Linked DNA regions of Stegostoma tigrinum. The protein of the gene in region 2 interacts with the protein of the main gene of each other region in a pairwise test. Links are inferred from orthologs where the notes say so. Each region holds a gene or a part of one and is shown on either strand. Other genes may lie near its edges.

The links.
Region 1: the proteins of mtfr1l (region 2) and armc1 interact in binary tests that used the Homo sapiens proteins (3 or more experiments, as listed by UniProt). The two-hybrid records come from large-scale screens. The link is inferred for Stegostoma tigrinum from reciprocal best matches to the Homo sapiens genes MTFR1L and ARMC1.

What each region holds. Positions count from the first base shown.
Region 1 is NC_081358.1:32,273,360-32,281,321, forward strand, and holds the start of armc1 (armadillo repeat-containing protein 1), read left to right. Parts: upstream 1-4,816; 5' UTR 4,817-5,085; intron 5,086-5,110; exon of another isoform or gene 5,111-5,366; intron 5,367-5,419; exon of another isoform or gene 5,420-5,967; intron 5,968-6,735; 5' UTR 6,736-6,785; coding exon 6,786-6,947; intron 6,948-7,962. Other genes in the region: mtfr1 (mitochondrial fission regulator 1), read right to left, coding at 618-683.
Region 2 is NC_081377.1:37,102,636-37,110,163, forward strand, and holds the start of mtfr1l (mitochondrial fission regulator 1-like), read left to right. Parts: upstream 1-4,244; 5' UTR 4,245-4,412; intron 4,413-5,392; coding exon 5,393-5,497; intron 5,498-7,528. Other genes in the region: si:ch211-15d5.11 (nuclear receptor coactivator 7), read right to left, coding at 4,078-4,202. UniProt on the Homo sapiens protein: Mitochondrial protein required for adaptation of miochondrial dynamics to metabolic changes. Regulates mitochondrial morphology at steady state and mediates AMPK-dependent stress-induced mitochondrial fragmentation via the control of OPA1 levels.

The DNA of each region.
Region 1 (7,962 bases), on a different chromosome or scaffold from region 2:
AAGTTTAAAGCCAGTCTCTGCAATTGTGACCAAAAAACCATCAATTGTTATAGAAACTCATCTGATTCAGTTCCCTTTAAGGAAGGAAACCTATCATATTTATGCAGCCTAGCCAACATGCGACTCAAGACCACAGCATGTTGACTCTTAATTGCCCTCTGAAATGACCCAAGCAAGCTCAAGGGCAACAGGGATGGATAACAAAATCTGATCTTGGTAGTAAAACCACATCCACAAAAGAATAAATTTGAGAGAGAGGACTGTAATCCTGGATGAAAAAATGGTGGAAATTACAGCAGGTCAGGCAACATTCATAGAGTAATAGTAAGCTAATGTTTCAAAGGTCTCTACAGTAACTACATGTCTCTAGTGAAAAGTTATCTAGACTTGAAACATTAGCTTGCACACTCTCTCCATGGATGCTGTTTGACCTGCTATACTTTCCAGCAATTTTTGTTTTCAGTACAGATTCCAGCACGCAGTAATTTGGTCCTGAAATCTGGATCATAAGTTCACATTCAGACCTTTGTACATAAATTTTGATTACTTATGCAACCTCAGAGGGAAATCATATCTTGAATTAAAAATGTAAATCAGGAAAGAAATATTTAACTTACTGAATCCATGTCTATTCCAGCATATTCCAACATCATTCTAATCATCTGAACGAGGAATAATAACATTAAGGCCAAATCACAGCTTTGCAATCCACATAACTTGGGAGTCTAGAAGCTTTATGCAGTCCCATTGTTCAGCTGAAGGGAAGATACAATATAATCAGAAAGCTACATACAGAGATAATTTAAAACAAAAGTCATGAGAAACATTTAAAAATGTTTTTTTTCAGCCAAGAAAAAGCTCAACTCAGAACAAATGCAAACTTTTATACTATATAATACCACTGGACATTAGAGTAGCACACAAACCCATATCAATCTTACGACAACTGCTCACCCAAACCAAAGACACACTACCCACTATGGACATGACCAACAGCATATAAAAGATTCCCTGCAGAGGTTGTGACAAACACTACACTGGACAAGCAGGAAGGAAATTAACAACAAGGATACATGAACACCAACTGGCTACAAAAGACATGACCAATACTTGTCTCTATCCATGTGGATAAGGAGAACCACCAATTCGATTGGGACAACCCCAAGATCCTGGAACAAGCAGAGCAGAGGCAGACACGCGAGTTCCTAGAAGCCTGGTAGTCCATGAACAAAGCCAAAGATATAGAACCTGACCCCATATACACTGCATTGCGAAGGAAAACCGGAAGGGAGGTAATCCAGCTCAACAGACTCCAGAGTTTAAAAACCTGGCAAGAAAACACAATGGGGCTTCATTGGAGGTTGCACTGATGATGTTACCCAGCAGGGTAATGAAACATCTGCAGAACAACAAACCAGCTTGGCAAGCCAACTAACCACAACCTGAGCTACAAATCTACTCCAAAACCTTAGAGATACTATATAAGCCAAGAGCAGTTGAGTAAAAAAGTCTGTCTGAAGGTACTGCATTGCTTCTGTAACATCCTTGTAAAATGGTGCTGCTTTGGTCCTTAACTCCCTGTTAACACCACAGAAAGCTAAACTGCTTCAATGGTGCTAAACCTTTACTTTTCAAAAAGTAATTTGGTTGTTCATTTGAGGAGTTATGGTATTGGCATTATATTTAGTACATTGAAACAAAATGAGACTAAAGCAAAGCTCAACCCCTAACAGAGCTGATCGAGTGCATACATAAAATTGGCACCTATCCAACAATGTGGTATGTTGCCTAGATATGTCCTATGCACAAGACAAATCCATTCCAGTCAATTACTCTACTCTCAGTCTACTCTCGAACATCGGAGAAGTGATGGTGTTATCAACACAGTGCCATGAGGCAGCACTTTGCTTAGCAATAACCTGCAAACAGATGCTCATTTTGGGTTCTCCCAGGGTGACTCAGCTCCTGATCTCTTCAGAGGTCTAGTTCAGACATAGATGATATAGCTTAAATCCAGAGCAGAGGCAACAACAACTGACTTTAACACCAAGGCCACATTAAATCAACTGTGACATCAGGCAGCTTAGCAAGACTGGTGTCAATGAAAATTAGAGAAAACTGGTTAGTGCTGTATCCGACACAAAGGGAGATGATTGCGGTTGTTAGAAGTGAAGCACCTTACTCTCAGACATCTCCACAGGAACTTGTCAGGAGAGAGTCCGAAGCTCAAACATCTTCAGCTGCTTTATCAGCAACCTTTCCTCCATCATAAAGACAGAAGTTGGGATGTTTGCTGATGATTGCAATGTTCTTGACTCTCCAGACACTGCAGCAGCCCATGTCTAAATGCAGCAAGACCTGGACATTATCCAGGACTGGGCTGACAAATAACATGTGAACCACACAAATGCCATGCCAAGACCATCGCTAGCATGAGTGAATCTAACTATTTTGCCTTGACAGTCAATGTTATCATAATTGAAAGTCCCAACAGGGGGCATTCCATTGACCAGATGCTAAAATAGGCTAGCCAAATAGATATTATGTCTGCAAGATAAGGTCACAAGCTAGGAATCCAGCAATGAGAAACTAACCTCCCAACTCCTCAAAGCTTGTCCAACATCATGAAGGCTCAAATAAGGGGTTTGATGAAATAGTGTCCACCTGCCTGGACAAGTACATCTCCAATAACACTCAAGCAGCTTGAAATGATCCAGAACAAAGCAGCATACTTGATTAGCATCACATTCACAAACATATACTTCCTCCATTACCAACATTCAGTAGCACTTCACCAACACTCCTCAGACAGCACCTTCCAAACCCATGACCATCACCAACTCGAAGGAGAAGGGCAGTAGATACATGAAAACACCACCACCTGCAAGGTCCCCTCCAAGCCACTCATTAAGGCTTGAAAAAACAAACACCACTCTTCCAACATCATCAGGTTAATATCCTGGAACCATGTCCCTAACAACATTGTTGTTAACAACCTAGGCCTAACAGGTTCCAGCAGTTCAAGAATGCACTCACCACCAAAGGACAACTACAGACGGGCAATAAACACTGGAGTAGGCAGCAACACCCACAGTCCATGAGTGAATTAAAAAAGGTCAGTATGAAACCATCCTAGCATTCAATGTTCACAAAAGGTATCCTATAATCTATAATACTTTACATCTTTAAACATCTGTATTTGCATATTAAGATAGCTTTGCTTTTTAAAGTTTAAGCTCATGGTTTTCAATGTCTGCTGCTTATGTTATATACTTACCCTTTTTAACACTGCTGAATGTTCAGAATGAGTTCTAGACTGGTCTGGACACAGTTATAAAGTTCATACTTAGGGCTAGCCAGCATGAAGATCTTTGTAAGTGATGAGGGTCACCTCAAAATTCAGAGAACTAAAGAACAATGAATACAATGAACCCGCAGTCATGCAATCCAGTAATAAAAAGGTATATTACAGCTAGTTGTATGAACAACCAGATGCAAATCAGCAAGACATTCAATTTCTTCTAACCATTTTCAAAGTGTTATGTTCCACATTGGAAGCTTAATGAAATTTTGCTTCAGTATCTGGTACAAATTATTAATCTCCTCAAAGTATTCAGCAACAGAAAAATTAAACAAAAATTTAACATGAATCCAAATCCCTTAGTGAACATAAAGGTGCTGTTAGTATAGAATTCATAAATTTTGGAAGTCGATTTGCCTGATGATGCACCTCACACCCATTACTTGGTTTCTTTTGTCAGTGATATAACAAAGGCACCAATATGCTCAATCCCAGCCGAATAGCATTCCTAGACACTTGAAGCAAGAATAATTACTAAATGCGACTATCATGTTGGTTTCATTGCAGTACAAGCGAATAGCGACATGCGAATCCGTCTTGACAAGCGGCGTGTGCAGTAAGATTTATTTGACACAATCGGCACACAATGCTATTTCAGAAAAAATATTTTTAGAACCTTGTAGATACGGGGCTCCCCTGAATTCTTCGATAATGTGGTTGATCGTTCAGATAGCAAAAAAAATCCAATGTACAGAGATAACAGATCCGTCTTTTCTCGCCAAAGAGAACAGTGTGCACAAGGTTTCACATGATTGAATGAATCATTGAATCAGAGTCACGCAGCCCGGCCTGGAGGCTCTGTCAATGCCAGTAAATCCCAACAGTAAACAGGCTTAGCTCTCACTGGTTACTGGCAGACCCCGATGTCAATGAGATCCATTCAGACCCACTCCTCCCGCTACAGCCCCGCCTGGTCCGGTCTTCCCCTCCTCCCTCCCAGGGCCGCTCCGCTCTCTCGCTTCAGCCCCGCCCCCGGGTCCCAGCACGCACTGTGCCCCCCGCCCTGTCCGCTGTGCCCCACCTTCCGGCCTCTGCCCTGCCGGCTCAGTGCCCACCCCACCCTCCGGCCTCTGCCCTGCCAGCTCAGTACCCACCCCACCCTCCGGCCTCTGCCCTGCCAGCTCAGTGCCCACCCCACCCTCCGGCCTCTGCCCTGCCGGCTCTGTGTCTGCCCTCGGGCCCGTGTCCTGAAAGAGCGCGCGGACACCCACTTCCGGTGCGGCTCTAACCGCCGCCGTCGCGCGGAAAATATTTACCACAATCCCAGCCCCGTGTAACGGCGTGCGTTTAACAATCGGCACGGCTTCACTTCACCATTACTCAGCTTCTAAAAATTAAAATAAACGGCGGCACGTTCAAATCCACACCGGTAGGAGGTTGCCGACTGGGGGAGGGGGCGGCAATAAGACGTCGTGCGATAGGCTGTGCCGTGCGGGTGGATGTGAGCCAATGAGGTGGCGGGGTTTGAGTGGGTGCAGGGTTAGGAACGGGGACGGGAGGGAGAGGGTCGAGCGGAGAGCTCCGGGTTGTGTCGGTGGAAAGTGGCTGTCGTTCATGTCTCACTGAGGCCTTGTGTCGGTTTATTCCGTATGGAGCTTGCGGGCGAGTGATCGATAGGCGCGGGGTTATTGTTGATGAGTCATACAAGGTGGTAGGCGGGCGGGAATAACAAGGTAGGCGAAGGCCTATGCTCGGCACCGGGGCCCGGGCGGCCTCTGAGGCCGGTGAGCTCCCACATTTAAACTCTCCCTCGCCTGCCTCCACCCACCCCATTACCATCCCTCGTGCTCATCAGGGTTTTCATTTCATTTACACTCCATCTTGTTTTAACCGGTATTTTTAAAAAATGTTTCTGGAATTGAGGCCGGCACTTAGAATCTCACCTCTCTCTGTTTAATGTAATTTTTCGGCAGCAATATAAAACTGGACTCGAATCGTTAACTGTTTTATCGCACTACAGATGGTGCCTGTCCAGCTGAGTTTCTCCCAGCAATTTCTGTTTTAGGTAACGATAGTAATGCTTGAGCCAACGGGTTTTGATTTTTTAAAATCTTTTTGCGCTTTACGTGTGTGTTATAGTCTTTGATTCACAGCTGCTGGTTTACAATGCATAAATCCGGTTTCGTATTGCATAGAATACGCAAGGCTTTGATAATCTTACCATTTTTCCATAAACACCATGACCTTGGATATGGCACTAGAATGAGAACATTACATCACAGAAGAAGGCCTGTCAGCAGTTAGTCTCACTCCACTTTGACACAATCCAGTTTGATAAAACGTGTAAGGTTGAGGGGTGACCCTATTGATGTTTATAAAATCATGAGGAGCATTTATAAAGTGAATGACAAGGGTCTTTTCCCGAGGATGGGGGATTTCAAAACTAGGGGACATTTTTAAGAGATAGTAAGTACTGCTGATGCTGGAGGAACACAGCAGGCCAGACAGCATCAGAGGAGTAGGAAAGTTGACGTTTTGGGTTGGGACCCTTCTTCGGAAATTTTAAAGTTGAGAGGAGAAAGTTTCAAAAAGACCTGAGAGGCAACGTTTTTTACGCCGTGCGCTTTGTGTGTGGATTGAACTGTCAGTAAAAGTCGTGGATACAGGTACAGTTACAGCATTTAAAAGACATTTGGATAAGTTTGTGGATAGGAAAGGTTTGGCAGGATATGTGCCAAACACAGGCAGGTAGGACTAGTTTAGTGGACTGGTTGAACTGAAGGGTCTGTTTCACACTGATTCTATACTGAAGTAACTGCTCTTGATCTCTGGTGCTTCAGCTCTGGGTTTTTTTAAATAAGTGATCAGTTAGACTTATAGCGATTCGGTCAGTTCATTTAGCTGGATGGTTAGTTTGCAATGCAGAGTGAAACCAACAGCATGGATTCAATTCATGCACTGGCTGAGGTTAGCATGAAGGATTCACTTTCTCAACCTCTTTCCCCTTGCCTGAGGCATGGTGACCCTCAGGTTAACTTACCTCCAGTCCTAGCTGTGTGATAATAACATAGCCTTATTGTCTAGTAAGACTGTGGTGACTTTAGTTGGACTCTAGGTACTGCAATGGTTATTTTCCAGTCTTGGTCTGGTGTTGTCGTCTGAATCCTGTAGCTTCACTTGGGTTTAATTCTTTTGGAAATGTATGAAATGGCACTTGCATTTTGTTATCTCATTGTTCGTGAATGAATTTACTCGTGTTCACTAACATACAAAACGCTGCTACATGATCAATCAGAGTGTTGTCTACATTGATAGCTTAAATTAAGTTTAACTGAATATTGAATATGTGTAATTTGGAAATTATTGCTCAAGTTTAAGTACATGTTATTTATGTATTTCATTTGTCATTGGCCTAATGTGTATTCATTTTGCAGGGAATTCTTGAAAGTTGCTTAAAACATATGGCATAGTGGATGGTGGCACAATGAGTGGGGAGCCTGATGCCCTAGCAGTAGTAAACCAGCTGCAAGATTTAGCATCTGACCCCTTAAACAGGCGAGCAATTGTTCAGGATCAGGGATGTCTGCCTGGGTTAATCCTGTTCCTAGACCACTCAAATCCTCAAGTTGTTTACTCTGCACTATTGGTAAGTGTTGACTTGTCTGCTCAATGTAGCCCTGTTTTTAGAATTGACTATTGATACAAGTTCAATGTTTACTCAAAGATCGTGTCTATATCACTGTATGTATACATGTTTATAGTTGATTTACAACTTGGGTAACTTAAGAGCTTTATTGGCACAACTGATGGTGGTGGGGGGGGGGTGGTGAAGTCAAATGGGATTGTTGTGTTTTGTCACTTTGAGACTCATTTCAGAATAATGCAAAAAGTATTGAGGTAGGTAAGTCCCGGATCTTGATGGGATCTACCCTTGTTATTGAGGGAAGCCATATAACAAATTGCTGGAGCAATGACAAATCTTTGGGACTTCACCTGTAACAAAACAGGATACAGAGGAATGGAGAATAGCCAATGTTGTCCCATTGCTTAAGAAGGGTAGCAGGGATAATCCTGGAAATTATAGGCCTGTGAGTCTCACATCAGTGGCAGGGAAATTATTAGAAAAGATTCCTAGGGACAAGATCTATTCACATTTAGAAGCAAATGGACTCATTAGCGATAAACAGCATTGTTTTGTGTGGGGGAGGTTGTGCCTCACTAACTCGATCAAGTTTTTTGAGGAGTTGACGATGATTTGAGGAAAAGCGATTGTTGTCTACATGGACTTCAGTAAAGCCTTTGACAGGGTCCCTCAAGCGGACTGTACAAAAGGTATCACATCATATCAGGGTGAGCTGGCAAGATGGAAAGAGAACTGGCTAAATCAAAGGAGACAGGGTTGCGGTGGAAGGATGCTTTTCGGAATGGAGGTTATGACTGGTGATGTTCCACAAGAATCCGTACTGAGACCTCTGCTGTTTGTGATCTGCGTAAATGATTTGGAGGAAAACCTAGCCGATCTAATTAGTAAGTTTGTGGACAGTGCAAAGATTGGTGGAGTTGTGTAAAATGAGGATACAGTAGGATAGTAGATCAATTGGAGGTATGGGTAGAAAAACAGCGGATGGGGTTTAATCTGGACAAATGTGAGGTGATGCATT
Region 2 (7,528 bases):
AATGCAAACAACCTCCATGTTTGCTACCTTCACCATGCACACCCGCCACCACACTCTAGACCCTGATTTGTATGGATTTGTCCCAGCACAGCTAAATAATTTTTAACCCCTTTCACACCCTACTCAGTATTTATCACTCCCTCAGCTTATCATCAGCAGCAATCTCATTATGTGCCTTCTCCCTTTCTCTTACCACTGTCTTTATATATTCTATTCACTCCTCCCTCTACTCCGAACCCTTACCGGCAGAGATACTATCCTTTCCCACTATTTTCAGTTCTGACAAGGGCCATTGAACTCAATAAGTTCACTCTATTTTTCCCTCTACAATTGCTGCCAGACCTGCGGAGTTTCCCAAGCACTTTTTCTTGTTTCACATTTCCAACATGTGCAGTTCTTCGTTTTTTAATTAAATATGGTATTTTACTATATTGCCGCATAACAAGAGATACACCTACTGACTGCACTACTGGGGCACTATCCTCAAAGGATAGTTAACAGATTATGTGCATTTTAGGCACGTTATTTAGAGATCTAAGATTGAAGTTTACTCCCATTGGGGATTAGAAAATTGAAAGGTGGTCTCATTGGAACAGAAAATATCCTGAGAGGATATTTAACAAGGTGGATGATCAGTCAATGTTCCCCTTTGATGAAAGTGTCTAGATGTAGGGAACATGATTTAAAAATTAGGGGTCTCCTATTTAACACAGAGATTAGGAGAATTTTTATTTCTGTCAGAGTGTTTATGGTCATGGAATTCTCTTTCCCAGAACAGCATTGGAGTCTCAGTCATTTGAATATAATTAAGGCTAAGTTATACAGATATTTGATTGATAAGGGAGTCAAGACGTTTGGGGATAAACACAAAAGTGGAGTTGGGGTAATAATCAGATTGTTTGGAATGACAGAACAGGTTTGAGGGGCCTTATGTTCCTACCTCATCTGACAACTGACAAGAAAGAATGGGCAATTTTAATAATGTATGGAACAGTAATTTGTTAATATTTATAAAGACTTTTCTCCTACGTATTTGAAGTGAAAGTGATGAATGGAAAATATTCTAATAATTTGTCTACATGAGCATGCACAATGACAAGTCAAATTCTGCATGTATTTGGTCATGTTTAAGCTTTTTCTTCAACTTGTATATATTTAATATGTAAATCACCTATTGTTCATCGGCAATGTCCTTTTCTGAGTTTGTGATTAAGAACCTTAACAAAAAAACTCCATTTCTTTCAGTATTACACACATTTTAAGACAGTATCTTCTTTTTATTGTTAATGGATATTTGCATAATTTTTTTGTACCTGAGCACTGCACTTAGAAAATTCCATGCCTTTGCAAATGCAGCTGCAATTCTTGTAGAATACTTTTCAATTAATGCAAGTCTTTCCCCATGGGAATTTTGACTCTTAGGCCAAGGGTTTTTATCACATCACATGCCTGTTGTGGTTCTATTGGTTAGTAATGAAGTTTCAATATCTGTAATATATAATAGAATATAAATTATAATAACTCACTCTTAACAGCAGCATGGGTGTACTTACAACAAAGTAACTGCAGCGATTCAACAAGGCAGCTCACCACCACCCTCGAGGGCAACTAGGGATGGGTAATATGTACTGGCCCAGCCAATGAAAGACATCCCATGAATGAATAATTAAAACAATCCTTCTCCAGCATTTAGCTTTCCAAGAAATATTGTGAAGCAAAATACCAAATTGTGTTGATCTGACTGATTTCACTGGAAACAACAGTAGTAGGATATTTTTTCACAAATACACAAACAGCTGAATAGATAGGCAGTCACTGAAACATTTGGAGACGGGGCAGAGTAGACCTCTAAAGTGGGCATGCTGATGATTCAATACAAAAACATGGGCTTGGATTGAACACCAGAAAGTGGTGAAAATCCAGAGGTCTTAGAAGTGTGAAAGAGATAAAGCGATATTCAAAGGTCAATCCTCTATGCAATCTACACAGGTATTCTTCAGAATGTGATACTTAGACGAATAAGAAACTTTCCCAAGAATAATAAGCGCAAATCAACTAGTCCTAGGCTAAAATACTTATTGATTTGCAGAGTGGCTCCATCCAGAACAGGTGATTCAAAGCAAAGTGGATACTATGTTTATGGACAGAGATTTATCAAACAGAGATTCCAAGCTATCTGCACAAACTTGCCAGAGGAAAATAAAGCAATCTACTATTACACTGAATCACAAGAATGAAGTTCTTAGGATAATAGTTACAAGAGATCGAATGCAGGAATTAAATATTTAGAGGTATATAACTTTTGAAAAGGACAGGCAGGATGGAAAAGGTGACCTACCCTAGCAAGTCCCCAAAAAATCCTCTGTGTTTCAATAAGGTCGTCCCTCATTCTTCTTTAATTCCAACGCGTACAGGCCTAACCTACTCAACCTCTCCTCATAAGATAGCCCCTCCACACCTGGTATCAGCCTAGCGAACCTTCTCTGGAGTGCCTCCAAAGCCAGTATGTCTTCCATAAATAAGGACCTGAAATTGTTCAATAGTTTTAGCAAACTTTTATACTCCATTCCCTTTGAAATAAAGGCCAACATTCAATTCGCCTTCTGAACTTGGATGCTTTTTTGTGATATATGGAATAGGACTCCGAAGTTCCTGTTCCCTCATTTTCCGTAGTGACTCCCAAATTCCTCTGTTCCCTCGCTTTCTGTCGTGACTTTCAAATTTGTGTTCCCTCACTTTCTGTAGTCACTCCCAAATTCCTCTGTCCCTCACTTTCTGTAATCTTTTTCCATTTAAATAACAGCTCCTCTTTTCTTCCTGCCAAAGTTCATAACATCACATTAGATCGCACCTGCCAAATTTCTACTCAGTTGCTTAACCTCTCTATATCTCTTTGAAGACTCTTCATGTCATCCTTGACTTCCCACCTTTTTTGGATCATCCATAAACTTGGCCATGGTACATTCACTTTCCTTATCCAAGTCAACTATATATATTGTAAATATTTGTGGCCCCAGCATCCATCCCTGGAGCTCATCAATGGTTATGAGTTTCCACTCTCAAAATGCCCCTCTTATGACATCTCTTAGTTTTTTCTTACTTAGCTAATTTTCTATCCATGCAAATACATTACCTCCAATAACGTGGGGCATAAGGGTTTCTTCAAAAGCTTCTAAAATGTGGTCACTCTGCTATAATGTAGGAAATGTCGTAACATTTATTATTATAGAGTCCAACAAACAGTAATATGATAATAACCACAAAACCTATTTTCATGATGTTGGTAAAGGGATAACCATCATTGGACACCAAAACTCCACATGCTAGCTCTGATGACTGAACATACACCATTTGACAACCAAATATTATTTGCAAGGCATTGCACTCCTTCAGTCATATCTCTACCCTGGGTCTCGAACTCAATCTTCCGATTCAGACGCAAGCGCGCTTCCCACTCATCCATGATGACATATAGAATTAGACCGCAACTCAAAATATCAAAGATTGGACTGCAACTATGCATTATTCTAATTCGGAGTTCTTCCTTCACCCCAGCTCCCCGTCTTCTTCAGTTTTTTTCAACGACAGTCTTAAAAAAAACATCTAAAACATCGAAACATAAATCGCACATCAAAAACCAATGATTTCCAAAGCAGAAGAGCTTTTTTTTACACTTACATGCGTCTTATCGTATATCAGTTATTAAGATTTTCAACTAATATTGCTCAGCAGGAGATGATTTGGTAAAGCTGACCGCTCAGCAGATCCCGACAATTTGATGACATGTTCCCACTATTTTCTCAACAGCACAGTTTTGCAATAAGACGGAAGTGAAAATAATGTTAGTAGCCAATCTGAGCAATAGCAAATCACTTGCCACAACAAATTTTTCGCCCCAAATCTTTGGTAGATATGATTTCAGCCATCTTCATACATTGACTTAAAAAAGCCTCACACACAACATTCACTAATTAATAATATCAGATCTGACTGGACCGAGGGAACGTAAACACTAGGACTAAACTCCTATTCCCTCTCAAACATAATACCACGCCGAAAACATTAATCAGCATTTACTGCATGTAATAAGTACTGGGGCAACGCTTTTGCTGCAGATTGGTCAAGCTCTGCAGAGGCTGGTTCTCCCAGTCACTCGGCTGGGGGTCGGCTCTAGCACCGAGAACTAGGCCGCGGTGCCACATACCCCCTTTCCTCAAAGGTAATTGGTTGCTGGCTGACCTCGCAGCCAATAGGCGATGAGTTTATTAAAAGGGCCATGGTAACGAGCTCTTGACCCGCATCACCGGGTCTTGATTCTGTGAAGGAGGTGGCGTAAGTTTTATCATTCTCGATGTGTCGGTGCAGTTAATGCTGGAAGGGCCAGCTGCCCCCTCCCTTTCTCTGAATATACGGTACGTTCTTAACTTTATGCGGAGCCTCTCTCTGCCGTGAGTAGTGGGCCTAAAATTTTTGCCCAAGCGTCATAAGCAATTGTTACTATCGTAGCTTTTATTTCTAGCGATGTTAAGTATTAAGTTAAGCTTATCCTTTTCGACTTAATTGTTAATATGGAAAAAATATTTTAAAACTTAATAAACGCACTTAAATCAGGCAATTATCGTTTAATAAATGCAGTAATATTCAGAATGTGTGCATTTTTTTTGTGACAGATGTGTGTATTAGAGCCACAGGAAAAGTTTGACCTTGTTATCGCTGGTTTGCAAATAACTCGAGCTGCTAATTGACCTTGGCTTTTTTTTAAATTCCCGATTTTTACTCCAGTTGGGCTGTTGTACCAGATTAGGCATCTCCATTGCTCTAGGCCTACAGCATTCCAAGTGGGGCAAACCAACAAATAATGACTATATAAATAGGATGGAATTCTGTTGATAGTAAGGGGCTTGTTACCAGAGCTCTGAGCCACTTCTGCCTAAATTACATTTAGTATTGACAATACCAGGCTACTCAATATTAAAACAAAACAAACCAATGAACGAATGAACTGTGGATGCTGCAAATCAAACCAAAACATCTGCTGGGGAAAGCTTAGCAGGCTGGCAGCATCTGTGGAGAGAAAGTAGAATTAATGTTTCTTCAGAACAGAATTAACCCTATGCTAGATATGGCTCTGCATTTGCAAACTGGCCCCCTGCCCCCCAATAATCATTGAATACCCTCTTGAATGCCTTGATTTAACCTACAACAACCATATTGTTTGCTATTTGATACATCAGATTAATTTATGACTCCATATTGAGTTTGAAGTGCTGTCTGCCTCTTTCCAAATGTGGCTGTCACTAATTTGGAATTAAAATTTCACTTTTGTGTAAAACTATATATTGTCTCTAGATATGGAAAATTCCACTGTTTTGTGGTAACTTTTACCTTGCAGATGATTCCAATATGGCAAAATAAACCTTATGGATCCTCTCGCAGTGTCGTCCGAATGATTGGATCAAATCTCCCTTTGAAACCATGTCCTCGAGTTTGTTTTCAGGTAATAGTACTGTTTAGATAGTAAATGTTTTGCTTTATGATATTGAAAAACATTAGTACTGAAGTATGGAGATAAGTTGTAGAGCTGTATGAACACAGCAGGCCAGGCAGCGTCAGAGGAGCAGGAAAGTTGATGTTTCAGGTTTTCTTCAGGGTCCAGCCCCAAAACATCAGCTCCTCTGCTGCTTGGCCTGCTGTGTTCATTGAGCTCTACACCTTGTTATCTCAGATTCTCCAGCATCGGCAACTCATGCTATCTCATCTCAGAACAGGAGCGTACTTTTGAATTGTTCAGTTAATTGGGCTTAAATACATAAACTGCCATATCAACTTCTACTTCATTTGGGAAGACACTTTAACTATGCCTTGAAATTACTGAAATCTTGCTCTTTGATTACTCCACTTCAACCATGTGACATGCTTGAATAACGCTTCTTATCACATTAGTTCACAGAAGCCTGTTTGGTACCCTTATGGAACTGCTTAGAAAACGTAAATGTCACCTACCTAGACCTTGGTATATTGCATGCCATGGGTTCTATTTTGTTATGGGGAGATGGTGACTGTTCTAGTGTTAATAGACTAGTTTCTAATATAGAGGGTCAAGTTAATTTGCAGTTGAGACATTGATTCAAATCTTACAATGTTCGCTTCTAGAATTTAAATTCCTGTCATAAATCTGGCATAAAAAGCAAGTCTCAAGTCGTGATAGTTTCACAATTGTTAAAACCATCTGGCTCGCTAATTTCCTTTTAGGAGCAAAATCTGGTCTGATCTAAGATGACAAAGTGTGGAGCTGGATAAACACAGCAGGCCAAGCAGCATCTCAGAAGCACAACGAAGATGCAGCTTGGCCTGCTGTGTTCATCCAGCTCCACACTTTGTTGTCTCGGATTCTCCAGCATCTGCAGTTCTCATTATCTCTGGTCTGATCTACCCCTGACTCCAGACCCACAGCAACGTTTTTGACTCTTAGTGTCCGAAATGGCCTAGCAAGCTACTCCTTTCAAGGGAAAGTAGGGTGGAGAACAAATGTTAACTTTTCTTGCGATGCTCAATTCCCATTAAAGAATTAAGGGGTGGCATGGGAGGGGTAATATTTAAAAGCTTTCCCTTTCATGTAGCTTAAATGGTCTTTGGAAGTTAGGGTGGCACAGTGGCTCAGTGGTTAGCACTGCAGCCTCACAGTGCCAGGGACCCGGGTTCGATTCCAGCCTTGGGTAACTGTCTGTGTGGAGTTTGCACGTTCTCCCCGTGTCTGCGTGTGTTTCCTCCAGATGCTCCTGTTTCCTCCCGCGGTCCGAAGATGTGCAGGCTAGGTGGATTGGCCATGCTAAATTGCCTGTAGTGTTCAGGAGTGTGTGGGTTATAGGGAGATGGGTCTGGGTGGGATACTTCAAGGGGCGGTGTGGACTTACTGGGCTGAAGAGCCTGTTTCCACACTGGAGGGAATCTAATCTAATCGAAGTTGAGTGCCTGTGACGACTAACGAAGGGGCTACAGCTCTGAAATGCGTTGCTTCCTAATAATGCGTATATTGACAAAATGTATTTCCTTCATCAACTGACTTATTTTTGTGGGGGAAATGTTGCCATCTAGTGAATCTCAGTCAAATTAGTTTTGAATAAATCTTGTGCTGGAAGTTATGAATAAACAACCTTGTTGTATAGCTGGTATTTACCCCAAACTACTTTAAATTTGAAGCTGCTGTGTATACAAAAGCATTTTTAAATGGTCAAAGATTAAATTTTGGGAGATGTAGAGTATTGTATATTTATCTTTGAAGGGTCCCATGCCATGTCTTTTTCCAGCCATCCGCAATGTAAAGCTTCTTGAATTGGGATGCTGATTGCAGCCGCATCTCCTAATAATTATATTGCCATTAACAGGAATCACCTATATGGTGTCTTCCTATTTGTTCCTCTGTAATCTTGTCTGATGAAGGAAAATTGCAAGTTAGTTGTGAATTGTGACTAGGTTGGGAGGAACCCTCTCAGCTCCACATTTGGGTGAATAGGCACCTAAAACATCA